4 linked regions of the Rhinolophus ferrumequinum genome follow. The protein of the gene in region 4 purifies or fractionates together with the protein of the main gene of each other region. This does not show direct contact. Links are inferred from orthologs where the notes say so. Each region holds a gene or a part of one and is shown on either strand. Other genes may lie near its edges. The genes, in order: ATXN2L, PABPC4, MKI67 and G3BP1.

The links.
Region 1: the proteins of G3BP1 (region 4) and ATXN2L purify together in Homo sapiens (affinity purification with mass spectrometry; 4 studies listed by BioGRID and IntAct, with this or other methods). This does not show direct contact. The link is inferred for Rhinolophus ferrumequinum from reciprocal best matches to the Homo sapiens genes G3BP1 and ATXN2L.
Region 2: the proteins of G3BP1 (region 4) and PABPC4 purify together in Homo sapiens (affinity purification with mass spectrometry; 4 studies listed by BioGRID and IntAct, with this or other methods). This does not show direct contact. The link is inferred for Rhinolophus ferrumequinum from reciprocal best matches to the Homo sapiens genes G3BP1 and PABPC4.
Region 3: the proteins of G3BP1 (region 4) and MKI67 purify together in Homo sapiens (affinity purification with mass spectrometry; 3 studies listed by BioGRID and IntAct, with this or other methods). This does not show direct contact. The link is inferred for Rhinolophus ferrumequinum from reciprocal best matches to the Homo sapiens genes G3BP1 and MKI67.

The regions. Positions count from the first base shown.
Region 1 is NW_022680357.1:1,217,387-1,224,514, reverse strand, and holds the start of ATXN2L (ataxin-2-like protein), read right to left. Parts: upstream 3,007-7,128; coding exon 2,705-3,006; intron 2,357-2,704; exon of another isoform or gene 2,201-2,356; intron 2,101-2,200; exon of another isoform or gene 1,961-2,100; intron 1,847-1,960; exon of another isoform or gene 1,717-1,846; intron 1,698-1,716; exon of another isoform or gene 1,601-1,697; intron 1,504-1,600; exon of another isoform or gene 1,337-1,503; intron 1,190-1,336; coding exon 1,153-1,189; intron 951-1,152; coding exon 894-950; intron 808-893; coding exon 736-807; intron 339-735; coding exon 188-338; intron 1-187. UniProt on the Homo sapiens protein: Involved in the regulation of stress granule and P-body formation.
Region 2 is NC_046292.1:27,731,766-27,739,050, forward strand, and holds the start of PABPC4 (polyadenylate-binding protein 4), read right to left. Parts: upstream 3,016-7,285; 5' UTR 2,499-3,015; coding exon 2,306-2,498; intron 1-2,305.
Region 3 is NC_046299.1:3,639,242-3,646,652, reverse strand, and holds the start of MKI67 (proliferation marker protein Ki-67), read right to left. Parts: upstream 3,010-7,411; 5' UTR 2,891-3,009; intron 2,500-2,890; 5' UTR 2,397-2,499; coding exon 2,305-2,396; intron 1-2,304. UniProt on the Homo sapiens protein: Protein that associates with the surface of mitotic chromosomes and acts both as a chromosome repellent during early mitosis and chromosome attractant during late mitosis.
Region 4 is NC_046307.1:23,502,123-23,509,260, forward strand, and holds the start of G3BP1 (ras GTPase-activating protein-binding protein 1), read left to right. Parts: upstream 1-4,130; 5' UTR 4,131-4,172; coding exon 4,173-4,274; intron 4,275-7,138. UniProt on the Homo sapiens protein: Protein involved in various processes, such as stress granule formation and innate immunity. Plays an essential role in stress granule formation.

The sequences.
Region 1 (7,128 bases), on a different chromosome or scaffold from region 4:
CAGGGAAAATACGAAGAACCACAACATAGACCAAATTCATTCCACTTGATCTTAGACCTCAAGACACTCTAAAGAAGAAAAATCCACCCATCTTCCTCAGGAAAAAAGGTGGTAAAGCGGGTGGTGCTGAGGGTGATGGAACTGCCCTCTGCAGCCCCACTCGGGACCTACCAGCCTGGCACAATACCTTTCGTGGCGTAATTGAAGTCCACATTTCGGAAGTGGACGAGCATGACGTCACTCGGCTTAAAGACCATGGTGTCCACAATGTCTTCGCGACGAGGGCCACCTGCTGGCTCAGACGCTTTCCGGTGCACAGCATCCACGGCTAGTTCAAACTAAAAATGTCCCATTTTCCAACACCCAAGGGTCAGTATCACGAAACACGAAGGCAACACACATGACTATTTTTCTCCTACCCTTTCTAAACTTTTCCCAGCATCACACTCTCATGTGTGATGTCTTCTCAACATCAGCCATAAGACGTCGCAAAAGCCCCAAACTTAGAAACTTACGTTTTAAGATTTAAGCGTTTTAACATGAAAGCATCCAACCCTCAAATTTCAGACGCACGTCTTTCACTGCTCGCAGCACGACTCTAGCACACAGGTCTACAGAAATGAGTGACAGCCACACTGCGGTCCACCACCACTCAATGCACACCTTCAATGAACTTTTTTCATTCTCCTCCTCCTTGCACGCACTCGAAAACTAAGCTAATTTGAGTACACTGACCTTTGAGCTCAGAGTCTTGAAAATACCTTCATAGGTGGTGCCATTCTTCACCTTTACATCACAGGTGGAGCCCTGGGACAGTGGGAAAAATAAAAACGTCTCCAGCAAACAGAGGAATCACTCTCCTCCAACCACCCAGGGGTTAGGCTCCCACTTACCACCACAGCTGTAAGGAAGTGCAGCATTCTGGAATTGTTGTAGACACCCTCAAACACCTGTCAGTAACACAGGAGGAACAAATAAAGAGCCAGACAACACCTCACCTTCCTTCTAAATATCCACACTCCACCCCCCCACCGAAGTACTATGTGCTGAGACCCCTGCTCTTCTGAGCCCACCTGACCATATCTACAACTAATCGGTCCTATATTCCCACCTAGGTGTCTTTTAAGTCTTGGGGTGGGCAGAGGCACTCACCGGTGACTGTGGGGGTCCCTTTCCTGTGCTTTGTCCCCTGTGAGAGAAGGAAACAAGAAACTAATTTAAATCTGTTCAATGCCTGACACGACTGATTTCAAAGGACTTGGTATCCCAGAACCACAGACCACGTGAAGATGCGGATCTAGGCTACAGTGAGTCAACGTAACTTTCAAACTCTCACCTTATAGAGGAAGAAAGGCCTGGGCAGTATAGCCAGTAAACACATTGCCTCCAAACGCCGGGAAAACACATCGCAATCGACCCCTGTTGTCAATTGCTTTTAACAGTACATCCTACACCACTGCCTCGCTTTCTCCAAGGGGCCTGGGCTGCACGCTTCCAACACACCAACGCTCCAGCATTCGACAACCAAAAACCCACCTCCGACATAAAAATGGAAGCTCAGGGAGTGCAGACGCGGAAGTCCCTGGCTCAGGCACGTTACCTCCCAAACCGAAAAGACAATCATTGTCAGCAGCCTGACGCTCCGATCCTGGGAGGAGGGGACTCCCTCCACAGCCCACCCTCTCGACCTCCGGCCTCCTTCGGCGCGGTACCCACTGTGGGAGGGGTCCTCGATCGCCTGCTAAGCCCGCTCCTCGCTGGCTGATGTAACCGGCGGCGGAGGAGGGTGATGAGGGGGCCGTTGGCGGGGCTGGGGGACAGCGCAGCCGCAAGAGCCATCCACCGGAGGCCTCGCCCGGTCTGCGCCTGCGCACTAAAGCCCACGGGCCTCTTCAAAACCCCCTCCCGCGATCCGAACCCACTGCGCCTGCGTGTTCCGCCACGCTCCATTCCATTAACCCATACTCCGAAGAAACCGAGTGGCGTGTCCACCCCTCCATCCCGAAGCCCCTTCGCGCACCCTCCCGGCCACTGCCCTGCATGTTACCCTGGACTCCCGAATGCCTGGGTCATAAGACAGAGCATCCACGCGCACGTACGTAAAGAGCGCGCGCGCGCGCCGGAGGCTCCCGGCCCGCAGACCTCCCAGTGGTCTCTCCTTCCGTCCCCCCGCCCACCCCGCTCCCCTCCTACTGGCCAGACCGGGGAGGAGGAGGCGGCCACACGCTCCCAAGTCCCTCCCTCCCCATTGGCCAAACTGTGGGCCGCGCGCCCCCCTCCATTGGCTACGGCCGGGGACCCCTTCCCGCAGCTGACTCCCCATTGGCTGAAGCCGGGGACCGCGAGACCCTCCTTGGTAATGGAGCCGGGGACCCCAGATCACCTCTTCACCCCCCAACTCCGGGCTCCGACGGCGCTGCCGGGAGGCGCCCTGCCTTCCCCTAAAGCCCGGGCCGCGAGACCCGACCAGGCTCTGAGAGCTGAGCATGGCCCCCGAGTGTCCCGGCAGCTGCCGGGGGACCCTTTTCCTCCGACCTGTTAGGACCTGCGGGGGCCCATTCCCAGCTCAGGGGGGGTGGCCCACGCCCCCTGGCGCCCCTCAAAGGTGGCCAGGCTAGGAGGCCGCCGGGCCGGAACCGAGCCGCCGCTGCCTGTAGCCTGGGCTCCAGCGCCCGGAAAACCACCCCGCGCCACCCCTTCTCACCTGGCGCTGCCGATGGCCGCTGCCCCTGGCCTCTCCTGATGTTGCTGCTGCGGTGGCGGCGGCTGGGGCGCCAAGATGCCCTCGGGTCCCCGGCGGAGCCCGCTCCCGGCAGCGGCTGCAGGCCCCAGGCAGGGGGAAGTGGCCGCGGGAGGCCCTGGGGGAGCCGAGGTGGAGGCCAGGGGCGCCGGGAGGCCGCCGTTGGGAGGGCTGGTGCCCCCAGGAGGCCGGCGGGCCACGGCCTGTTGCGTGGGGGGCGGCTGCTGGGGCTGGGAGGTCTGTTGTGGCGGCTGAGGCTTCAACATGATGGCAGCGTCCGGAAGGGGAATTAGGGGGAAGGAAGGGAGAGAGGCCGGGGCTAGGCCCCCACCGGAGAGCGCAGGAAGCGAGGGGAATTGGGAAGCAAGGGACCCGCCGTTGGCGGGCGGGCGGGCGGGGAGCCCCGCGGGGTCGGGGTTGGATAGAGAAGACCGTGGCGCGAGAAAGCGCCGCGAGGCGGAAGGGGAGGGGGTCTCGCGGGCCAGAGGAAAGCGAGAGGGCGCGAGCCGGCCTGGCGCGCGTGCGCGTCGCCGGGGGAAGGGGGGGAGAGGGAGGAGCGCGCGGGCGGGAGCTCCCGAAGGGGGAGGGGCGGGGAGGGAGCGGCGGCGCGGGGTCCGCGCGCACCGGGGCGGTTAGCGCCGGCGGGGAAGGAGAGAAGAAAGAAAGTGAACCTCGCGCCCCTAGCCTTTGGAATGGGGAAGGAGCAGCGCGGCGCCCACGCGCGCCGAGAATTTAAGGTCTCTGGGTGTCTAACAGCCCCCAACGCTGCCAGCCGCTGTCGCTTCACAATGAGCGTGTGAAACGCTAGGGGAGGAGCCGAGGCAGCCGAGGAAGAGCCGGCCGCCCCGCCCCCTCCGCCGGCGCAGCGCTGGGATGCCTCCGCAGCCGTGGGAGATGCGCACGACGTAACGTGCAGTTCTTCCGCCACTTGGGGGCCCTTGGGCGGAGTCAAAGTGCAAAAAAAAAAAATCCCGGGACTAGACAGGCTGCTGGCAGGTTTCAGGAGGAGCTACTCCCGACCTTATCTGCTTTAAAGAAAAGACTGGCGGGCATTACAGTTGCCAGGTTGAGCCCGGCGGTGTATTTTAAACTTCAGTGGTTTTCAAACCTACATGGTTTCTCCATGCCCTAGAATGAACCCTTAAACCGGAGTAATGAAAGGAAGGCCAAAGTACAAAATGCTCCACCCAACTGCAGTGAAGGCAGCCTTCATTCATTTAAAATGGCTAGATGCTCTTGATACAACTGTAATTAAACCCTTTGCCGCCCTCAGGGAGTTCAAGCTGGTGGTAGATTCAGACAATTAGGTGAGATCTATAATACCGTGTTCCCCCGAAAATAAGACCTAGCCAGACACTCTGCTCAATGCGTCTTTTGGAGCAAAACATATAAGATCCGGTATTTTATTAACTTTTGCTCCAAAAGACGCATTAGAGCTGACTGTCCCGGTAGGTCTTATTTTTGGGGAAACCCGGTATTAGGTGAAGCACAGGGCACTAAGAAAGCAGATAGGAGTGACCCCGGATTGGGTGATGGATTTCTAGGCAAGGGGGAATGGGATGTGACAAGAAAACTTGAGCATGGCTGGAGAATAAAATTAAAGAGGGAGGTTTTAAAAAATGAAACCGGAGAGGTAAGTAACCTGGGATCAGATTTTTAGGAGAGGAACCTTATCCTCAAAGCAGTGGGGAGCCTTTTAACAGAAGATGAAGAGATCAGACTTGTATTTTTAAAGGACTACTGTGCTACCGGGAGAATGGAGTGAAGCAGTGATGGGTCTGTGGTCTTAATCCCAGCGAAACTTGCAATATCGGTCTCACTTCGCTCCAGGCGTTAGCGTGGAAACTTCCTGAGCCCTCACCTGCAAGCCCGTAGGTGAAAGTCTGCCTTACTCTTTGGGAAGTATTCCTTCACCCCTGCCTCACTCCTAGCTTCAAGTGTGTGAGGTTCCCTCCCTTCCTGTGTGCTTGTCCAAGAATTTCCCCCCCTTTATCCAAGAGCTCCTTGAATTCTGTCTTCCTACTAGTGTCAGCACCCGAAGGGTCGGGATCTTACTCCTACTCACTGTTCCTGCAGGACCTACGGTAGCACAAAGCAGGCAGTAAATTAAGGCCTTGTGAACAGAATGGCTCCGAGTGATTTTTTAAGGACCATGTCTCCTGGATGGCTCAATAACACAATCCAGCTTTTTCCTGTCATGCCCTGCACCAGCTGGTGCCATGCCACCTCTCCACCCTCGTTACGGGCACTCAGGTATCCCCCATCCACATCCTGCTTCCCACACTGGAATTCGGTTTAGCCCCGCTAAACTTCCATTTCCACAACTTGTCTGACCCGTACCCAACTCTGCCTGTACACGTGCTGTTTCTTCACCTACTTTCTCATTCTTCAACTCAGCTGGCAGTCGAACATCCTGTTACCGACTCCCTCCTCAGAGCACTGTGATGGTTTTGTTTATGTGGCTCTCCTTTCCACGGGAGTCTAAGGTCATGAAGGGACTGTATTTTAGTCATTTCTCTATCCATATCTAGCTCCATGGCTGGACACACAGTCACTCAGTTGGTAAATGAAAACCATGTCTTATATGCAATTTAGAAATTATATCACTGATTTAAGATGGAGTGATTTCCAGGCTATCTTGTTAGGTGAAGAAAGCCAAGTTCAAAAGAATATAAACTATGCTACATTTTGTGCAAGGAAGAAGGGGAAATAAAACAAATGTATCTACACATTTTTGCAAAGAAAAACTCAAGAGGGATAAACCAAAAACTAATAAAATCGGTTACCTATGAGGGGTAGGAAAGATGAGGGACCTTTGGTTGCTGGGTTATGTTCTTGAAGGAATACAGCTTCCTTACGTATACCTTCCAATACAGTTTTGACTTTTCAAAGCGTGTTAATGGTCAACGTATTCAAGAAATTTAATCAAGAGAGATGGACGGAATCTAAAGTCTGAGTATAGATATAAATAAATGAGCCCAACTCTATTTTCAATGAATAAAAATAACACTAAAAAGGAAAAAAATAGGGCTCATTCAAGTAACTTTCAAGCACCCTCTGTCTAAAGAAAAAACACAGCATATAACTCTTGAATTCTTCTTAGTAATTTTGCCGTAGGGCAAGACCATGAACATTCTGAAGCTATTGAGTGTATTGTGGATTGAGCACATGACAAAATATGTAGATGTTGGGAGCCAGGATTCTCACTAGGGAAGTAGGGAGAAGCATATATGGAATGAGAGAAGGGAACAAAAACTTTGTAAGGCTTGCAATGGGAAGTATCAGTATAGAATTTATAGAAAAAACAAGAGGCATAGACAAGATAGATTGATTTACACACATCTAATGCCCAGATCTTGCTTTCTAAATACCATTCCATAGAAAGGACCCAGGGCTCCTTGAAGAAATGGCTGACTCCAGCCTGGGCAGGAGCAAGGAAGGCACCAGATGAGCTTGGAACATTTTGTCAAGCCAGAAAATACGACGTAAGTACTAAAAAAAATTACAAGCGTATCAAAGAGACAGAAGCCAGCTTGAAGAGGCCAAATCTGGCACAAGTAACAGGTTATAACTCATTAAATAACAGAAGAACCCATGCGCCCATACCGGTAATAGCCACAAATGTATATGCATATACACATTAAAAGAAGAAACATACAGGAGAAATAATGACTATATTCCTCAAAAATGTCCCTGGCATCACAGCCAAAGAAAGGTTGGGGAACTGTTCCATATTAAAAAGGAGGCTAAAGTGACTAACAACTAAATGAAATATTTGATCCTGGCCTAGATCCAGAAAAAAAATTTCTATAAAAGACATTATGGGGAAAATGGATGAATTTGGAATACAGACTATAAAGTATTACATCCTCGATAAATTTCCTGAGTGTGATAACTCCGTAAATATGTAAGAGTATATTCTTACTGAATATATATAATATATATTTATGTTCAAAGGAACATGATATATGCAACCTACTATTAAATAGTCCAAATATATACTCAGCAGAGCTCAAAGTTGCCAAGATGAGAAGCAAAAATTCTACAAATGGGTTATTAAGAATAATCGTGAGAAGAACAAGGTCCATTTCACCCCTTGATTCTCAGACCCATGTGTAGGGGAGACGGCACCATACAATACTGGTCTCTGACTAAAGTATATACCGCATCCTATAAAACAGAACTCCATCCTTTCAGGGTGTGGTCTCCCAAGGGATACCATAATTGAGTCTTTAATAAGCCTTTCCGTCATACCAGGGGCCATCCTGATTTGTTCCAGTAAGGATACTGCTTCTGAGACAGCAGCTACCATTGGAGTGGCCAACTGATTAAGTTTACAACTGTCCACAGTCCAACAGCCATCTGATGTCTGCATAGGCCAGATTCCT
Region 2 (7,285 bases), on a different chromosome or scaffold from region 4:
ACCAAATGATAAATACTAATGGTCACACATGGAAATGTTCTTTGAATTAACAGACAAGGAAAAAACTGCAACAGCCTTCTGCCTAAGTAGTGCAGGTAGGCCCTGAACCTGGTGGTTTCCAGGCCTTCTGAACCCTTAATCTGAGTTCTATAGAATTCCAGGACTTCAAATACTGTGGTGCCCAACCAAGTTCTCCATCCAGGGCCTTGGTTCCTTAGCTCCCCAACCAAATCCATGTGTGCACCATAGAGACCATTTAAAGGACGAGAAGCTAAAATATATCATCACCGACCGGATGGCTCAGCTGGTTAGAGCGCGTGCAAGCTCTTAACAAGGTTGCTGGTTCACTTCCCGCATAGGATGGTGGGCTGCGCCCCCTGCAACTAAGATTGAGAACGGCAAATGGACTTGGAACTGAGCTGCGCCCTGGAGAAGTGCACTGTTCCCCAATATCCCTCCCCTGTCAAAAAATATTAAAAAAGGAAAAAAATAAAATAAAATATATCATCACCTGCCGGCAGGAATACTTCTCTTCACTGGTAGTAACAAGGACCCGGAGCTGGTGTTCACTTTCCCTGACTTATGCAATGTATCTCCCAGAATGTCCTCAACGAAGGGATGATGGGGGGGGGGGTCCCTGCTTCAAGGCACCACCCCACTTAGGGACAAAACTGCCCCTCCACAAGCTTAGCTGCCCAGTCAGCCAAGGGAGTATCCCCTCTTCACTCGGTTCCAACCACCTTTCCCACCTTCCTCAGGTGGGTTCCTCAGTGTGGGAGGGGAGGAAGTCAGGAAAAGTCCAGGCACAGAAGAGTTTGCTTGTAATGGCCAGTTGAGATCGAAAGCCTTGGACCCCAAACAGTGTTTCATTAATTAGTAGCAAAGGAACCCTTTCCAACACATCTCCTCTTCTATTTCCAGACAGTGCTGCAGAAGGCAAGTCGGCTTAGTCTGACAAATCCGGCGGCACTTATTTATAGCAGGGAGAGGTCCTGCAGAGGTATGTGTTGGCAGACACACTGACCAATGGCTCCTGCTATTATTGCTAAGTGACAAGACTTTTGTTCAGAAGAGTCAAGGCAGGCTACTCCCCCTGAAAAAGGCTACACTCAGCTACCTTCTTCGTACCCTGTGGCCAGATACAAGTCAGCTCAGAGCACACTAAATGGGAGCAGTACCTCATGTCTCTCAACAAGTCCAATCCTCTGGTCTCAGCTGCATCCTGGGCAAGTGACATTCTGTGCTTCGTGGTGAACAAAGTAGGGACAAAAATAGGGACCTGGAGATCCTTTGCCACAGAATGGCTTGTTTCTCGTAGTGATCTCTACAGTTGTTCCTTTTTAATCTGGAGTCACGTGCAGCCCGATTAGGTTTCCTCTGGCCTCACCCCTGCCATGCCTGCGGCATACCTCGCCACGCCAAGCGAAGGCCTAATCTGGGCTCCTGGAGCACTGCACAGGCAGTCCCAGCTTAGCCTCCAACCTGCTGCAGTTCCTTTTCCTTCTTAAGAGTCCTATCCTCTTCAGATGGGATGACGTAAAAGTGTTCTGACTAGTAGAAAGCACTGTTCACAGGTGAGGCAATAATCCCTACCAGCCCAGTGGATTTCCAAGCCTCGGTTCCCCAGGCTACCCAGAGACCATTCTCCACAGCTGAAGGCTTCGTCCAGAGTGAAGAACTCCTACCCAAGTGGCAAACACCCAGACCTGGGAGCTGCTCTGGCACATGCTCCTCTTGTGCTAACACAAATGCCTGCTGAAGTTTAATGCATAGAATTGCTCCCCTGCTTCCTACCTCACTGAAAGATACCTTATCAGCACAAAATCAAACGGACTCTTAGTCCAGGGTAAAGGCAGGGGAGGGGGCAGCAGTTCTGCAACCTAAAATCTTTGCAGTTATTGTTTCCACCGCCCTGCCTTTCTGGCAGGCCTGTGTGGGACATGAGTCCATGCCCACTGACCAGCCGAGGGTCTCCAACAGCCCAGCTCCACTGAAGCAGGGTCACACACACCATGGAACGACAGTGACTTCCCTCTGAAGCCGTTTTTCCAGTCTCCTTGGATTCCAACCCCACTGCCACCACTGATTAGCCCAAGGTCACCCAGTTAGCAAGTGGTAGAAGGCTGAAACTGGTCATCTGATGCCAGGATCCCGTGTTCTCCACTCCTGCATCCTATTCCCCACTACGGCTTCTGTGGCAACGTGCTGTCGTGCTGCCCCTTCCACGAGGGTAGGGACCTGCCTAGAGGATGACTCCTGAGGCCCCGTGGGATCCTGTGAATCTGCAGACAAGGCTTCTACTCACCGTCAGCTGGCTGCTGGAAGTTGACGTAGGCATAACCCAGGGAGCGGCGGGTGATCATATCGCGGCAGACCCGGATGGACAGCACAGGCCCCGCAGGACTGAACTTTTCATACAGCATGGCCTCGGTGACGTCCGAGTGCAGGTCACCCACGTACAGGGAGGCCATGGGGTAGCTGCTGGCTGCAGCGTTCATTTCCCCAGCCCCCACCACCCCGAGCCCCGCCAGGAGGACTTCTTATAAGGACCACACAGGACAAAAGGGGCTCTTCTTGGAGCCGGGGCCCGCGCCGCGGCTCACAGGTGGCAGAGTGAAGCTGAGAGAAGCTGGAGGAGGCTCAGAGACAGAGGAGCGGGCCGAGGAGTTCAGGGGCGGCTCGTTCGAGACTGCAAGACCGCAGACAAAAGGTTCTCAAAAACAATATGGCCCTCCCGGGGAGTTTGTGATTTTCAGCTGTCCTGGTCTGAGGCTCCAAATTTCCACAAAAAAAAAAAAAATTTTTTAAATGGGGACTCCCCTCCAAATTATAAAAATTCTTCAAGAGGCAACCAAACGGTGCCCACGCGGCCTCCGGGACACGCGTTTCTCTATAAATATAGGCCTCGGGCTCCTGGCGGTTTAAGATTACAGCAGCCAAGGGACGAGGGAAACAAAATATTTGTCGGTGCCGACTCGGCGAGCCCCGGGGGCTGAGCGCGCAGCCGCCTCCACGCCGGGCCGCGAAGGGCAGCGCGGACACGTGGTGCACGGGGAGGCCGGCGCGCTGGGGGCGGGGGCGCGGGGCTGCCACGCGGCGCGGACCGGCGGCTGGAGCAGAGGCGCGTGGACGCGGGCGGCTCACCACCGGACGGACGGACAGCCAGGTGTGGCGGTGGGGGCGGCGGACGCGGGTAGGCCGGAAGCGTGCAAAAGTGACTTCCCCGCGGGTTCTCCGAGAAGGATTCGCTTTCTCTTTTTTTTTCAGATTTTAAAGCGTTTTCGGGTTTTTTTTTAATCTTTTTCTCTTTTTTTCTTCAGGCTGCTGAGCCCGAAAGCGGCCGAAGCTGCGGCGACCCGGGGCGGAGAGAGGCGGCTGGGGGAGCCACCGCTCCATTTATACCCGCCCGCCCCGGGCGCTGCTGGTCGAAGGGCGCCTGGCGACCTGGGCGCAGATGTGCCCGCCCACTCGGCCCGGAGGCCCGAGGCGGGGCGGCCACATGAGAGAGACCCGGTGTGGCCACGCTGCGCTACAGCGACCCCTGGTGCGCGGAGGACCGCTCGGGGCCTGTGCCAGACCCAAGGGCAGCTGGCCACACTAGGTTGTAAACCTCCCGCCCCTCTGGGAATAGAACCTGTAGACAGTTTAACCCACCAGCACGCATAATGTTCATAAACAATGTGTTCCTTAATTGTAAAATAAAGATGACAAAATAAATTATAATTATATACCGTGTTTCCCCGAAAATAAGACCTAACCGGAAAATCAGCCCTAGCATGATTTTTCAGGATGACATTCCCTGAACATAAGCCCTAATGCGTCTTTTGGAGCAAAAATTAACATAAGACCTGGTCTTATTTTCGGGGAAACACAGTAATAGATGTTCCAATATGTAAATGTTTGGGCCCCAAAAAAGGAGAAGACATTCTGAAGTTTTCAGGGTACTGGAACCAAGAGGTAAGACAACTACAAATGCAATAGTATCCATGGCTGATGGGATTTTCTGGAAAGATGAACAAAGTTTGGTAAAGCTTCATAAAACAAAATACAATCATCCCTCTATTTAGATGGCAGTGGTGTTTCTGGAAATTTAGTTGACATTTAAGGGTGCAAAAATACTTTCTATTTCTTTGTAAAAGGGAGTTAGTGTCTAGGCTCTGCGGGGGAGAAAGAAACTTTATTTCAGCTAGTCTAATAATTAAATTGACATGAGACAGATTTACAAAAGGAAATAAATATACTTAATTATATCTGTATGTATAGAAACCTCACATACATGGAGAATCAGACACCCCCCCCCCAACATACATGAGAGGTTCAGAGACAAAGTTAAAATGAGGTATACATGACATTCTGAGCTAAGGATGAGGTAAAGTGCCTTGGGGCTTCAGAGGGGAAGAGGGTCATTCGCAGGACAATAAAAAGAACAGATGTGCAGTAATTAGATGTTTGCCTACCCTATAGATAGGTCGTAAAAAGTTATTTCTGGTAATAACTCTTATTATGGGCAAGACCCCCAATTTAAATTCTTTAAGGAAAGGGGGTAAAAGTTTCTCATGAACCCGCAGGTTCTCAATTGCCTTCAGTTCAAAATAGTTCACATGTCACGGTGGCATATCTTAGAGAAGCCTATTCTGAACAACTTTAGTCCTGCCTTTGAAATTTCCTGATAAGTTTCACATTCCAGAAATTGGGTTTGATAGATTGTTCCATGTCTCACTAAACCAGTCTCAGTCTTGAGAATAGGTTAGTTCAGTTAAACAGTTGTGTCTCATTTCCGGAGGCAGTGATGCAGGTGTGCTGCCAAAACTAGGCCTATGGCAATAGCAATCAAGTATTTAATAAGAGGCATCTCTATGTAAACAAAAGAAAAACAATGGTTAATGCTTGGAACAGACTATAATCCCGGTTCCTGAGTGCTCCAGGCAGCCAGTCAAGATTTCTAGATGTCTGGCTCAAAGCATCTTCAGATGGAGTGAGGGCAAGCAGTGATAATCTGATAGATTTTCCTGATCTACAATTTGAATGTCTAGGGTGATCTTTCTGTAACAGGCATGAAGATTGTCCATATATGAGCTATTGTGGTGATTTTTCTGAATTTTATATCAAGTTGTCCAACTTTAGCTTACATGGCTTTGGGAAAACGGCAGTTTTAGTTCCCAATGATTTCAAGTTAGAAGGGTGGCAGAAAAATCGGAAACATTAGTTTGCAGAGTCATAGCCAGATATTTGAGGAAACTAGAAGAATTCAGCATCCAGTGCAGGTAGAAAAACAAAAACCTCAGAAGACAACAAACAGCACTAGTATCTAATATTCACAAAGATGTATTACTGAAACATAACTTTTCTCTCTAAAATCACCCCTATTTTGATCAAAGATATTCAAATTAAGACTAATTTGTTTGCAAAATAAGTCTAGTTTCAATAAACTTGGCCTGTTATTTGTATAAATACAAGAATAGCAGTTGATCGTAAAGGCTTTTAAACCTGCTTTGCTAGAATTTTTCATAAAGATTCTACAGCTTGAACTTTAAAAATATTCTCAAGGCCAGAAAAGCCAAGCCAAGGACTTGTCATTAGTCTTCACCAGCAATACTTTTAGATTTGGGTTAATTCCTCTCTTCTCAAGGTTCTCAAAATATCTTGAGGTTCCTACATCTTCCAGTAAGGTACTGGGAACCCTATAAGCAAGATACCAGGCCAGCTGGTATTTCTGAGGGTTTTATTGGCTTCCATAAGTGAATCTTCAATCCTTCAAGCTGTTTGGTAATATCTGAATCTATGCATGTCACTCCCAAATACAACATTTCTGCCAAAGCTTTGGTAATCTATCCGGTTTCCGATTGTGTCTTGTTACAAGGAGAACAAATTTGTATTGAATTTATACAAATAATACTGCCATGAAAATAAGAATACTCACTGAAGCTTTCTGAATTCTGGAGGGATCAAGCAGGGAGAAAAAAGTAAATGTTTCAATTCTGCTTACCAAGGTATAACTCACCAAATTACTGTAAGTAATAGTTTAAGAGGAAAGGTTTCCTTATATCTGAAAGAACAAAAAAATTTTAAATGCCAGCAATGTTTCAAACAAAAAGTCATAAAAATTGTAATCATCCTCATCAGTTCATTCAATTCCATGTAATTAAGACCTGTCCTGCTTGAATCCAATTGGTCCATTAGTTTTCTGGACCTTGCCTGATGATTGAGGGTGATAGGGTCAGTGATAATTCCAAGAAGTTTGCAAGGCTTTCTGTCAAGGCTTGTATGATTTGCTCAGTGAAGTGGGTGCCTTGATCCCTAGAGACTGTGGAAGCTATACCCTGAGAGGGAAACACCTTTTCTAACAGTTTCTTTGCCACTGTGAGAACTCCAGCCGTGTGGCAGGGGAAACCTTTAGTGCATCTGGAAAACATATACACAACAAGAATAACGTATTGATAACCCAAACTTAAATGGCAGTTGAGTGAAGTCCAGTTTAAATGCACTACGATGGATGGAAAAAAACAAAAAAGGGGTTTGCCAGGGAGCCTGGAAGAACCAAGCAGCCGTTCTGGGTCTCCCACTGCCCTGACTATTCATTTAACTTACAGCCATTGTGTGCCCATCTTAGTTTCTCTGATTCAGGAGCAGACTGTTGTCAAAGTACATGGGCATCGAGATGGCAAAAGTCTGTCACTGAGGGGTCATTTTTGCAGAAGTAGAATAGACTTCATCCACATGTGCCACAATCTATATAGATTTTATTGCCCCTTTTCATGAAGGTCAGCTAGGGAATTTTAAATACAGAAGGTTAGCTCTTACTATTGAGAAGATTTGGTTTTCTTAAGTAGTCGAAGATCAGATTAAGACAACATGAAATACAGCAAATTATTTTTTTATTATTATTTTATTGGGAAAGGGGAACAGGACTTTATTGGGGAACAGTGTGTACTTCCAGGACTTTCTTCCAAGTCAAGTTGTTGTCCTTTCAATCTTAGTTGTGGAGGGTGCCGTTCAGCTTCAAGTTGTTGTCCTTACGGTCTTAGTTGTGGAGGGCGCAGCTCAGCTCCAGGTCCAGTTGCCGTTGCTAGTTGCAGGGGGCACAGCCCACCATCCCTTGTGGGAGTCGAACCGGCAACCTTGTGGTTGAGAGGACACGCTCCAACCACCTGAGCCATCCGGGATCTCAGTGGCAGCTCAGCTCAAGGTGCCGTGTTCAATTTTAGTTACAGCAAGTTATTTTGATAAAACACAAAAACTTTGCTTTCTTGGCAGAAAACTTTTCCCAGTATCTTATCAGGAATAG
Region 3 (7,411 bases), on a different chromosome or scaffold from region 4:
CCAATAACAAAAGATAAATACAAGTTATGTGTATACGTGTTTTTTGGCACCCCCAATGTAAGAGTGTTTTACGTCAGTTTGGAGAATGAGAACTACTTTTAATACTCATGCTTTTTCTTCTATAAAAAGGTTTGTGTACATTCATTTGTAATGTACACAAATGCATATTTGAAGGTTTACTCATCACCAAAAGTGCTGTACTTTATGCCAGAACTGCTCTGTGCCTCAGTTTCTTCATATACAAAGAGAATTACATTGGCACCTATATCATGGTATTCTTCAAATGACTAAATGACTTGTGCACGTCTGTCATTTGCCTGGCCCACAGTAAAATGTCATTACTTGTGAGCTGTTTATTGTGGCTTTTAAAACTACACTCTATTAACTGACAGATTCCCCAGTTTCTTATCACTAAAAATACTAATCTGCAAGCAACAATAAAACATTCTCTAGATTCAACTTGTCTTTTCACAAAAAGCTAACCTCAGCAGGAAGCACTGGGAGGGAGACTTCCCAAACCCACAGAAACTCGCCAGAGGTCCTTAGTGCAGCTCCGGTATTCCCATTACCACCAGGTGCTTTTATAAGTTTAAACAAGTATATACTCTTCTCTCTTGTCAGTATGAACCTCTAGAGTCTATGATGTCTTCCTTCCCATGTCCAATGACCAAACATGAATTACAAAATCTCGCACAAAAATATAGTTAATCAATCACTGTTGTATAATAGTCAGAATTACAGCCATTTGATACCAAAATGTTACACACACACACACCGCAACAAAAAAATGTATCCACATTTCAGAGTGTTCAAAATTGTAACAATATATAGTAACGTTTGATTTCTGCAATTACAAGAGGTGCTCAAAGTGGTTACCATCAGCGTCCAGACACTTGTGATTGCGGCGAACTACTGCTACATAGATAACATCTCTTAAAATGTATATACATGTTTTTGGCACCTTCTGTATATTTCTTTAGAAAGAAGCTACCGGTAAGGGAACAGCTACTTTAAATCAAAGAAGAGAATTTGGTTTTTAGGTATCAGAATATTCCACCAAGTGAAAGAGAGAGATTATCTCCTGAGAACTGAGAACGTATTGGGCAGGAGACTGCCCACTGGGATCACTACAGATGTGTGTACGGCGGTTCCTGACCGTGGTGCTGTTGATAGTTCAGGTCAGATAATTCTTTACAGTGGGGGTTGCCCTGTCCATTGTAGGACATGTAGCAGCATCCCTGACCTTGGCTCGCTGATGCCAGCGGCATAAGCCTCCCACATGGAGACATGGAAAAATGTCTCCTGGGGGGCAAGTTGGCCCTCACTTGACATACACTGCCAGTCTGTCCATTCTCCGGCCACAGTTCCCCTGGACACTTACGGGGGTGCTGAGCACTGATCACCTCTTACATGCCGCACCCCACACCAGCCACGGGGGACATAATCATTAACCACACAGTCCTGTCGTTGGGGCTTAATAGTGGGAAGACAAACCAGACTCATCACCATGTGTGGCGTTAGGAAAGACAATGACGATGTCCATTCAAGGCTCCTTTTCAGGTCACGTTGAAACTGACATCTAAAAGCTGGAAAGGAATCACTCACATAGGAGGATAGAGAACATTCCAGTCCTAAAGCTCAAACTGGCTAAAAGCACCAAAGTGAGCAAGAGTGTGGAATGTCTGAGCTGGGGTGGAACATAGCAGCACAGGGTCGGGGTGGCACCACAGGTCTCCACAGGGAAGGTGACCTATCTATCAGTGTCTGTTTAAGGACAGTGTTAGAAAATGAGAAGGGGTGCAATTAGTAACGTGGCCTGTTCCAGGGGAACCACACTTATGAAGACAGGAGAGAAGTTCTCAAAACACTAGGAGGACTTTCCCTTCCATGTTCATTTTTCCCCAAACACCAGCAAGCCATGTAGGAGCCTCCTTCCTCCATTTGCTCAAGTGTCCCCCAGTAACCAATGAATGCCACATTCGGAGGGATTTCAGATAAACACAGTTGTTTTCTAAAGACTGCCGGAAGTGAATCAGGACTTGAGAATCATCTCTGTTTTTCTCCATTCATAGATGTTTATCAAATCAATTTTAACATTTGATTAGAAACCAGTTAATATATGAACATTGTTTTCAAAATTCTTTTCGTAATAAGCCATCACTTCAAGTTGACAACACATAGGAAAATCCATAGCAAATGTGAGGGCAGGAACTACTCCCAGAGCCCTGTTTCCAGTCTGTTAATCTGTGATCAGGAAATTCAGGTCTTTCAAGCTAAATGGTACACGCAGGGCGCAGGGCTCACCTTCCAAACAAGCAGGTGCTGAGACTCAGAGGAAAGTGGGGGCCGTCGACCCCGCTCCTTTTGATGGTAACAAGGTGTCCGGTAGGACCCATTTTCTAACCAAGAATTTGAGTGCAATCCGTATAGGAAAGTCAGGCATCAAAAGGTTTGCTGAAGCAAACTTACAAGCAACTCTTCCACTGCAGGAATAGGTCACTGAATAAAACAACAAAAATAGAACACGGGGGAGGAGGGTGTTACTCTGAAAACGGAGCTAAGTAAGAAGTCACTTGTAAGTGACCAACTGGGATTGCTTGTACAATTCCCCCAAGCCCTGCCACCCCGGCCCACACCTTATCTGACAACTGTAGGAGCCCCAGCCGGGCCCTGGGCTGTCCCCCAGGACGCCCTCCAGCACCCAGCACCCCGAAAGACCCGCGATCAGGACGCCGCCCACCAGGGTCTTGTCTCCTGGGAGTTCCCACCGAGACCACGAGCCCGAGCCCAGAACGAGCCGGGTCCAGGACGCGCTCCCGGCGCGGGTTCCCGCACAGCCTGGAGAGCTCTCCGCGGCTCCTGTCCGCTCCCCCGTGGTGCCACGACTCACCCAGGACGACTCGCCCTCACTGCCACCAGTGGGTCCACCGCTCGTCCAGGCGCAACCAAGTCCACACGGTGAGTAGCCCTCAAAGTGTTCACTTGAAATCCACCTCCCGCCCCGCGCTGCCGGGTCCGGGACTCAGCCCGCGGGCCCGTGCCCACCTCTGCCGCGGCCGCAGTCCCCGCTCCCCCCGCCGTCACCCTCGCCGGCGACCGGGTGTCCCTGCCAGCTACGTCCCCGAGGTGCCCGGCGTTGGCGGCGCGGGCGCGGAAAGCCGCCCGCTGCTGTTCGCCCGATTCAAATGAAAACAGCGATTCAAATTTGGCGCAAAGCACTGCGATTGGACGCGGCGGCGCGGGGGCAGACCAATGGGGAGGGGCAAGGCCGGGGCCGGGGCGGGGCTAGAGGGGAGTGGCGGGCTCCGCCGGGAGGGGCAGCGGCCGCCGGCTGGCGGGGCGCCCGCGGAAGACGCCTTCCCCGGGTTCTCAGCAGGGACTGCACCAAACAGGCGGAAACGGAACGTGGCCCCGCCGCCGCCAAACCTCTCTAGCCTCCTCTTTTTTAAGGACCAAATGCAATTGTACAATTAACAATTGTACACAACAGGTTACTCATTGCTGGAAGGGTTAAAATTTTTTAGTTTCTGTATCTCCCCAAAGATAACCCGTAATTATAAGCGATTTCCGTGTCTTTTCCCAGTTGTACATGTATTATTTTCTTTCAAAACACACTGAAAAGACCATAATAGACACACTGTTTTACATTTGTGTTCTCTGCCTCCCAGACCTGGAGGCTCTTAGATGTGTGACCTGGAGGCACACATCTTCCCCGTTTACTTTCTTTCTGAGGCTGCCGAGCATCCCGCTTTAGCAGCTATATTTGACCTAACCACTCCTATCGCTATTCGTTTAGGTTTACAGAGTTTTCCTATTAGGAAAAAAAAATCTCCAATTTAAAAACCTTGCGCACGACAGAACGGACGCATTCTGAAATAACCACAGGATTTTCCCTGGAGCCACTTGCCTGGTGGGGGCGGGGAGGCTTCTGTGTGTCAGCGTTTCAACGTGGTGTGACTGAATGGGTCCCAAACGTGCCCTGTCTGCCAGTCATCGCCCGCCTCCCGCTCCACCCGCACCCCTTGCAGCGTGGCTCCCCTGGATTAGGATTCGCACCCGATGGTCTGGGGACACCTGAAAGTGTCTGAGATCATTGTAGGGGGTCCCTGAGGTGAAAACCCTGTGTGTGGTAACGCCAGACGTTCTTCTTCGCCCCTGTGCTCATTTCCTCCTGAGTGGAAGGCGGCGTTTCCCAAAGGCAGACGCAGAAGGGAGACTCCAGCTGTCTTCTACTGAATCTGGTATTACAGAGAACTGCAAAAATATAAACTAATGCTGCTCTTTCCAGTAATTTTTGTTTTCAGATAACGTAGGTATATTTCATTAAAACATGTTTTTTTATGTTAACATGAAATGAGTTCATTGTAAAATAAATTGACAGATGAAGTTTTTAAAATTACTCAGTTAATAACCTACAAAAATCTCTTAGTGGTCTTCAGTAATTTTGAAGAGCATAAAGGGACCCTGGGACCAAAAAGTTTGAGCCTTTCTGCTCGTGAGCGACAACTTAGGGACTGCCTCCGGGAATACGGAACAGCTGGGAACACGACGTGAATGTACACCTCCAACTCTCTCTGTGACAAGGCAGGTGTGGGTAATTTAAGTGCCTGGCTCCCATTAACCTTCTGTGGGGACAGAGCCCCAGAGCGCAGTCTCCAGGCTCTCGGCCTCACGTGGGGGGGTGCTGACTCGGGTAGTAGATGGCCATCGGTTGTGGCTAGTTGGCCTTCAGCTGTAGCCAGTTAGACAATTGGCCCCTGACACAGCTGCCGCGGCTGTGCTGGTTGGGGCGTCAGGAGAGTTGAGGGAAGTCAGAGAGTCGGTGGGTTGGCAGAAAAGCGGATAGCAGCAGGTCGCACGCCCTGTGAATCCAGCCTCCAGTGAGACTATTGTGGTGTGACTCCCTACCCATGGCTCCGTGGGTGTTCCTTTTGGCCTCACCATATCCTGTGTTCTTGTGTGGGGAGTGGGAGCTGAGACCCCGCATGACACCCTGCACGGCACCTTCTCAGGGGATTAGTTTCCGTGTCCTCCCCCTTCACTCCATCAAAGAAAGCTCATCTCTGAACAACCCCATAAAACGCTACTTTTGTCACTCTAATTACCGCTTGTTATCAGAGACGGTTCTGTGACCCACCCTCCAGCAGCCTAATTAAAAGTAGGAGGTGCCAGGCTTCCTGTCAGATAATCTCACAAACACTGTGCCACACACACGTTCAGCTCTCTAGAGAGGGCAGGAAATTAGAGGGGTTGTTTGAGTGACGGGGTTAGGTCTGCGGCACAGCCCTCTTTAAACTGTTTGATGACACACTTTAGCAGGGGTGTTTCTGTTGGGTTAGAAGCATGGCCCACAGCCCAAGACTTCCTTAAAGCACAGATCTCGTTCCGGTGAGGAGAATCCCACGTACCACATGCGGGGGTGGCATTGGACCCCAAGCTCCTCTCCAGCACTGTGGGAGTCTTGAATACGGCGACGGACAGGGACCTTGCACTTAGAGTACCGCTGATCCGGAGGACGGGAAACGGCTTTCCGCGGCGTGCGGGGGTGATGGTGTCCGCCGACCCGGGGAGTTTTCCAGGAATCAATGTCCAGATCCTCACAGCCCACGCTCACTCACGCCTGCAGTCAATCAGCCAGAGAAAGTGTGCCAGGGCAGTCCGCTTCCCCTGCCCCTTCCCGCGCCTTCCCCCTGCTCCTTGCCTCTCGCCTCCTGACACTTAGGATGGAAATTGCCCCAGGCAACCGATGAGGCACCGTTCAACAATTCCGGTAAACTCCGGGCCCATCCATCCACCGGACGAGACGGTGTATTTCCAATAAATTGAGTGTATGTGTAATCAGTATCACATTGGAATGTTGTTCGGTCATCTGTGTCCCAGTAAATCTTATACTGTCACCTCTGCCACCTGGTCAGCGGGTGGTGGAGAGAGGGGCCGCGGAGGGCGGCGCAGGGCGGGGAGGGTCGCGCCCCTCCACAAGTGCGGTCAATAATCTGGGAAGGGCCTCACGGGCGAGGGGGCAGGTGCTCCCGATCCACCCGACGGCTCAGTTCCAGCCGGGCGCCCCGGACCTGGGACCCTCGGGCGGCTGCAGGTAGGGGTAGCGGCGCCAACCAGCGGAGCCCCCAGACTCCCAACTACACTTCCCCTCTCTTGTCTCTTAATAACCCCCCTCCGCCCGCCAGTCTTCCCATCAGGGGAGACAAGAGCCTTAAAGCGGGGCTCAGGGGACGGGAAAAGTGGCCCAGGGGTGGGGTTGGGGTCCTTCCGAAATGGATCTGGTGAGCTCTTTCCTCCCGGAAGACAGCCATGTCGCTGAGAACCCGGGACCCCTACGTACACATCCCGTGGCTGACAGCTACCAGGCCCCCTGCCAGGCGATTACCCCGATCCAGAGTCACCACCAGCCCAGACGTGGACTTGCTTCCTGGGGCCCAAGCCCGGGTGGGACCTGCCTCCGCTCCTGGTCTCCGTTGAGCTGGGTGCCAGCGGTCTTTCTCCCAGATCACTCAGCCCTCCCCCGCACTGGACGCCGTCTCCTCCGACCATTCCCTATTGCCAGCATTGCACAGGTGGGGTGAACAGGGGTCGGTAGGGTTGCCCCTCCCTGGCTTCCCAGCCTCTGTCCCCACTTGGTTTCCTTGGCCTTTCTGCCTGGCCTGTCGGGGAGGGGCCTGTATCAAAGGCAGCTTCTCCCAAGGACACTTGGGATGCGCTTATTCCCCTGCTTCAAATTCTATCAGCCCTTCCCTATTCCCTAAGTCCCCACTCTGAGGAGGATGTGACGCAACTCTGCTGAGCTCAGGGACGCCACCTCAGGAGCCTCTGTAGGGCAATCACCACAGACAGAGTGAGCCGCCGCAAATTCACTCCGGATCACGTGACTTCCTCCCTTACAATATACCCTTCAGAGGCTGCCGATTACTTTCAGAGGACAACCCAACTCTGCCAGGAGCTCTGAGGCCCTATGTGGCCTTCTTGACCGCTCAGTCCGCTCCTGGCTCTCCGGCCACCTGAGCTCCTCCCTCCTGCAAGTGCTCAGCCCCTTCTAGCCTCAGCCCCTTCTCACCCGGAACTCTTCACCTGAGGGCGGAGAGAAGCTCAGCTTTGCAGACCAGAGGAACCACCCCGGGAGTTTCGGAACCGGCCCGGACATACCCTGACCAGTGAAGACGGGCTCCGGCCAAGGGGCTTTCTACATCAACCCTGCAGTGCCCACGACCCGATTTAGCCTGAAGAAAAGAAGTCGGAACTAAACATGGCATCAAAAACCATGAATGAAATTTTGAAAAATTCGTTTTTAGTTTAAGAAGCTCACGCTGTATTATTTTCATCATAGAATATTTGGGAAATATACAAATGTAGGAACAAGAGTCACCTGAAGACGTACAACAAACATAATTGTGTTTTT
Region 4 (7,138 bases):
ACCCTGGCTCAAGTTCACGTCCCTGTTAGCAATTGGCAGTTGCATGTGACTCCTTCCAGATATAATCTGTGCAAGTACACCAAAACCATATAGGAATGTATATAGATAGCTATAGCAACACAATATATCTTTATAGAAATAATCACCCATGGCGTCCCTCCTCCCTTTTTAACTGTTTCCATTATTCTGCACTTTGCTTTCTTTATATATTGGTACCTCTTGGAGATCACTCTATAACCATACACATAGATCAGCCTCATTTTCTCTGACAGTCCACTGTATTGTTTTTAACCAGTCCCATATAGTTTGACAGCTGGGTTATTTCCTGTCTCTTTCTACTACAAGCCGTACTGCAATGAATATTATTGTACTAGGTCTTTGTCACAGGTGGGAGTTTAACAGGTCAAGATACGCATACATACAGGCACAGGTTTTTAATCACCCTTCATGAGTGATTAGCTATGTGTGGGAAACACTGATCCAGATGCTATCCTTAGGATCATTCCTTACCAAACATTTCTACCACCCTTCCATTGCCCCCCACCAAACTGTATTTCTGGAGTCTTACCCAGGTTTCTTCCCACCCTGATTCTCAGAGCTTTGGGGAGAATTGGCAGAAAGAGAGGGTGAAGTAGTGTACTGAAGGGGTTCGCACATTTTGCTTGGCAGTGGAGAGAAAGACCAGTAGGAGGCTGGGACTCTCCCTTAGATGCTAAGATAACTAGACCCGGCTTTCTCAGCCCCTGCCCTATTGACTTTTTAGCCAGATAATCCTTTGTCATGGGGAGGGGGGATCTCAGCTGCATCCCTGGCCAGTGTCCACTAGATGCTAGCAGCCCCTCTTACCCACTTGTGACAAGGCCACATATATGTCTCTTGGGGGCAAAATCTCCCTTGAGAAAGCAAGTGCTCCAGACAATTCACTGGTGGTAAATTACTCACTGAACATTTACTAAATATCCAGCGTCTGGGTCCTGAGGGTTTATGATCTGAGTGGGTAAACGACCACAGGAAGATGCCAACTTCTCTGTCCTGTGGAGACAGCAACAGCCACCTGAAGGATCTTGTTCACATTCTCCCTCTGGTAATTCATTCCTCTTTCCTTCCCTCCTTTCTTTCTACCTCCCATTACCCGGCGAACACAGTCTCGTTGTAAAACTTTCAAATAATACATTATTCTCATTGCTCCCAACCTAGGGGATTCCCTAGGAGGAATGACTATTGTTTTAAATTTAAAACCCTTCCTCTGCACTTAGATACCTATTTTAACATGCAGAAATCAGTTTTGTTTTTTTGGTTTCGTTTTTACTAATATGAATGGGAATTCACTGTATGTTTTGTTGAACTTGATTTTTTGTCAATTAACAATCCAGTTAACAATCTGTATAGTTTGTACCTCATTCTTTTTTCAACTGCTGCATAGTGTTCTGTATTACGTGCATATCACCAGTTAATCAGTTTGCAAATTGATGAGCAATTAACGTTTTCAGTATTTAAATATTCTAACAAAGCTGACAGTACTGTAATGAACGCCCTGGTACATGCCTCTTTGTAAAAAAAATGTGGCTATCAACCAAGAAATAGGACATACATAATTTTAATAGACTGCCAAATAGCCTTACAAAAAGCTGTAATCACTTACAATTTCCTCCAAATGTAATTAAGAATAGCTTTGACCCCTCCCCCACCGCAGGCCACCTGGGTTAAATTACTAATCTGTGAATTTAAAGTTTCTCCAATCTGCTCTGATTAGCGTTTCAATTTGGAGAGTCATCTTGTAAAATGCAAATTTCTTAGTCCATCTTTAAGAGACCTTTCAGGAGCTTTTTTCCACTGCTCTGAGAATAAAGTTCAAGTTCCTTAGCATGGCTAACACGATCCTTAAGTTTCCTTCCTTCAGAAAACCTTTTGCAGCTTCCTGGTCTGGACTGAGTTCTCTCCGGTGTGTTCAGTCCCACACACCTGTTCCCCGGTTTTGGGAGCTACCGGCCCAGCGCAGCGCCCGGTCTGTTGAATGGGTGACAGCGAGCAGGGACAGCGTCTTGCTCACCCCTGATCGCAGCCCTTGGATCTCAATAAATGCTGAAAGAGCGCGGCCGCTGCGGGAGTGGGGTCCGGGGAGGACGGGCGGGTAGAGGGACGCTTTCCCCGCGTTTCCGGGGCCAACGAGGAGAATAGGGATGAGCCCAGATGCCACCAGGCGGCTGCCCACACCCCTTCTTTCCCTACAAAGACGCTCCACGTGCTTCATTTCCAAATTTCTCAGCAAAACTTAACGGGAACCCCTCCCGCAGGGTCACATTCCTAGAATAAGAACTGACCGAGGCGTGTCTATGTATTTCCATATAAAATGCTCATGGTGACCAACAGAGGGCCCAAGAAAACACTGAGTGAGACGTGGACAGGACCAGGCTGGAGCGTCACTCAGCCCCCGAACTGTTTCGGGAAATCTTCAGGGTGTCCCTATAGGAGTTTGACAAGTTACCTTTTAAAGATGGGAACAACTTCAAGAAATAAGCCTCCACGCCCACAGCGATTAGAAAACTGAATGACAATGGTGGTGACGCACAGGATGTTGCATCGAGGCCCAAACTGATAGGACAACTTACAAACTACTGTCCCTCGGCAAAAACTAAAAGGGAAAACCTCAGTGAACATCCACCAGCCAACCTTCCGGTCGACCTGCAGCAGCAGCATTTGCCCAGAACCGCAGGGCAGAAATTTGTGTTCTCCAACTCAACAGTTTCACGTGCTACTTTTTACAAGATCTTAGGAACACAACAGGAGTTACTTTCTCCTTTGGCTTTCCCTTAACAGTTGCCCAACGATAGTGCTGACTAACGGTGAGAGCCAGCAAATGCCCTTAAGCATGGAAATAAAGTTAGCAGAAACAAACAAACAACGGGAAACTTTACCACTTGGTTTCCCTCGTATCAAACTGTGCAGAAAAGGCGGGACAGAGGCCTCAGCGGCCGAACCCAACCAGCGAGGGAACGCCAAGAGGAGAGCGGGGACCAGGAGAGCCTCAGACCCGCACCAGAGGGCACCGCGGCCCTGGGGCTCCGTCTCCTTGGTGCAGTCCAACCCTCGCGTCAATCAGCTCCTTCTCGCGTTGCGATTGGTCGGGGGCCTCCTTGGCCTCCCTGGCGCCCACCTCCTAGCTGCTTGGGGTTTACTTCCCCAAAGTACACGGGCCCCACCTTGTGGAGCAACCGCTCCTGCATTGGAAAACGGATCTCCGCCCAGGGGAAGACGTTTAAACGAATAGGAGCGGCCCCATGCATTTATTGGCTACTCTGGGTATCAGTTAAAGAACTTCCCACCCCCTTTTCCACTGTACCTTGAAGTAATTGGTCTCTCTCTGTGCCAATCTGTTACTAGGGAAACGAGATCCTCATAGTCTCATAGGCATGAGTCAAAGCCAATCAAGAGCCACGCCTTCATCCTGAGTCAGTGCCCAATTGCTGCTCGAGGAGCCCAGAGGACGCAGTCGGGATTGGTCATCAGCCTGCCCGACCTGGCCGCAACAAGTTAGGCTGAATGGCATATATATAGACCGGCGACGGAGCACGCGTGTGTGCGGACGCAGTTGCGTGAGGGGCTTTTGCCTTGTGTCGTTCTGTGGAGCAAAGCTTGTTCCTCCCCGGCTCAGCCGCGCAGGTACGCCGGGGTGTGGGCGGGGCGGGGCGGCCCTGGGTCGAGGACGAGCTGGGGCTGTTGTGAGAGGGAGAGGTCCGAGCGGCGCTCGCGCGAGGCGCGCCCTCGCCCTCCCCCCCCAACGGACGCAGGCGGCCGCACGGGCGCGCGGAGGCTCTCCGCCCCCCGGCGGGCGCGCGTGGCCGTGTCCGCCGCGTGCGCGTGCCGCGCCCAACGGCCACGTGGGGCGAGAGCGAGCTGCGGCCGCCGCCCCGGGCCCCAGGGCGATCTCGGGGGCCTGGGGCCCCGCGCGGCCGGTTGGCCAGCCTTTCCCGCTCGCTCCCCCACCCACGGGCCAGTTGAGTTTTTCCTCCCCGGCGTGGAGCTTTAGCTTGACCCGGACGAAAGAAGGTTTTTATGGGGGGGGGAGGGGGCCACACGAAAGTGCGATAAGAATTTTCGACCGGGGAAGTAGAAGTGTGGTTCCAGGGTTTTGCAGGCAGTGAAAGGGGGTGCAGCGAGTGCATGGGTAATGAATGATGATAATAACTCACATTTTTCGAAGCCCTTATTGTGTGCCAGGCATTGTGCTGGGCAACTTGTGTGCCTCTCATTTACTCCCACGACGACCCTGCAAGGTAGGTTCCCTCAGTTTACAGCGGACTCAGAGGCCCAGAGGTGGAGTGACATGGTCACAGGCAGACGGACGGTAAGGGGCAGGTATTTGTTTTAACCCAGGCCACCTGACTCCTAGTCCCCGAGCCTATTTTAGTCTTTGTTCCAGCGCCCTGTGCGGCCCTAGGGCACTTTGGCCCCCAGAGTACTCGTCCCAGGGGACAACATCAGCCTCTAAAGGCCAACTGCTGCGAAGACTGCAGTGGCATTTGTACTTGAGCCAGTTCATGGGCTTCCAGGGAGACGAGTTGGACGTGCGATTAAGACAAAGGAAAAGAAATGGTTTGGGCTTCCTTTGTACGTGTCTTCGCGTAGCTAGCTGACGGATGTGCTGCCCTAGAAGCTTCTGGATAAAGGACAGAATAAAAGGAATAAGTGCCAGTGAACACGGGCAGTGTTCCTCGTCCGATGTGCGACTCACAGCACGCTGATGGGAAATTCCCACCAGCAGGAAGTTAGGCGCTGCTGGTACTAGACCTTGAATCAGTTGTCTTCGTTTTTCCATCGGAGCCGACTTTTGAGAAAGCCCTTGGAGAACCTAGTTTAACTTCCTTGTTTTGTAGTTGAAGAAAATGAGGTTTCAGAGCAATGCGTTTCAGATCTCAGCAGCGTGTGTAGGTTAATGTTTGAAATTGGAATGGAAAGGCTAGTGCTCAGTTACAGTATAGAGCGGAGCTTATGGGAGGTGAATTACAGGTGGGTGATGGAGATGTGTTGGGAATCTTACCTTTCTGGCAGTGGGGTTGGTCTGTGGATGAATGCCTGTCTACGTTCAGTTCATTTATCTAGCATTTATTTACTCCTAGGCTCCTGTGTATGAGTGTATGGAAACGTGGAAGACACCTCCAAAGACTTGGGTTTATCTTTTTCTAGTAGAGTTACGTTTTAGATTTTTAAAAGCCAGTATACTCTTTGGCTTAATGAAAGAACAAAAAATGTTGCCGTGTTGCAGGCCCAGGTCATTACTTGACGTGACACATGTCTCTACTTGAGATAAAACTACAATGAAAGTTTTGGGACAAACTCTTCTGAATTAATTTTGATTGGAATGGCTTTCCACCTTTTAAAAAAAGGCATCTGTTTTGTTTGTACAAACGCTTTTTCGGATAGCTCTTGATTTACAGTCAGAGAACACAAAATTTAAAAACTGAGGAACCTTAATATGTGTTTCCATTTACTTAATAGTTTCCATGTTTAACAGAAAGTAACAAGAAAGGATTGAAATATTGTATAGACAAGTTCTTTACCTATAATAGGTGACAATGCTGTAAGAATATAACATTGTTTCACTTGAACTTGCCTTCCTGTAGCAATTTCAGTTACCTGCACTTAGACACCCCTTATCTATCGAATTAGAATTTTTAGTTATCAAATGTGAAAACATAATGATTACATTGAAACTCTTAACTTTGAGTCCAGCTAATTTTATTACTGCTTGAGGTAAAATGTATCACTGAAATTATCTTGTGCATTAATTGTGGGAAATTTTTATTTTGCCTTTCAAATGTTTCTTAAAAAAACCCAAAAACCCAAAAACTGTTCTTGGCCTCAAGCAAATACATGGTTATCAATTGAACAGGAATATGAAAACTGGTAGTTCACAAATTGGTAGCCCAGCTGATCTCTTCTTGTGCTTTCATTTATTAAGAACAAATGAATTGAAGCAAATTGTGATAATAAAAGACTTGGGTGCCTCCCTGCTCCCCAGCCAAGTTAGAGGTTACTTTTGTTGTTAAATCCTTTCAATCTAAGCTTTTGTACCTCTTCCAACTGGTAGAAAAGTAGGCAGTTCTTTGTTCTTTATTTAACTCACATTCACTTTGCTGTTCTCAGCTGACAGTCTGCTAGGGAACATCAGGAGATTGGTAATGTTTGTTGGTGACCTACTTTGCAGCAGTTTTTTGTAATTTACATTTTTTTTTTACTTGTTTTAGGGCTTTGCATAGAAAGTAAAAGGCAGAGATTAGTTTTAAATTATTATAGGTTTGTGAATTTTATGTGGTTCTTAGGAGGATGGATGGGGCAATGTTTAATTAAATGATGAAATTTAATACAAAGCCAGAATTTGTGATCTAAACCAGTTTTTAATTTTTTTTTGCCAGTTTAATAAAATTACCCATGTGATCTTCAACATTTTGCAGTTAGACTGGTTTTTAAAAAATAACATTTCAGAATGTAAATATGCATTGTATATTCATTTAATTGAACATAATGCTTTGGACAAAACTTGTTGACTTTACTGAGGGAGATAATTGTCAAAGTAGGTAGGTTAAAAAAACTGCTTTTTTTCCCACCCTCTGGCTAGTCAGTTGTTAACATCTAGTGGCAAAACCTTTAGTGCAAAGCAACACTGTCCTTCCAGCCATGGAGTTAAATTTAGATTCAGCAACTGTAATCTCACTTGTGGTTGCTGTTCACACTGTAACAGTTAACTAGATTTATGGTTTTACATCTCAATCAGCTTTCTGTTTACTCAAAAAAATTTTTTATTTTTAAGTACTCTTGGACACCCTGCCTCACCTTGGTTGGGAAAGCTAAATTGGAAGCCAGGTGAGAGATGGTGAAGAATGGGCTTTATAAAGTAGAAAGTAGATAATAAATATCTCTCATAGGCTGTGGCCTTAGTAAATAAGGTCTTTAGGTGACTACATGGGATGGATTTCCTCTTCTGTCCACGGCCCACGCGTCATATTTTATAATATTGCTTAGGTGTTAGCTTGTGTGCTATATTTCAGGTATTTAGTAAAAAGTAAATGTTAGAGATGGTTCAGAGGAAGAAAACTGGCTTTCTGGTTGGGACACACTTCTGTTTTGTAGGGATATTAAT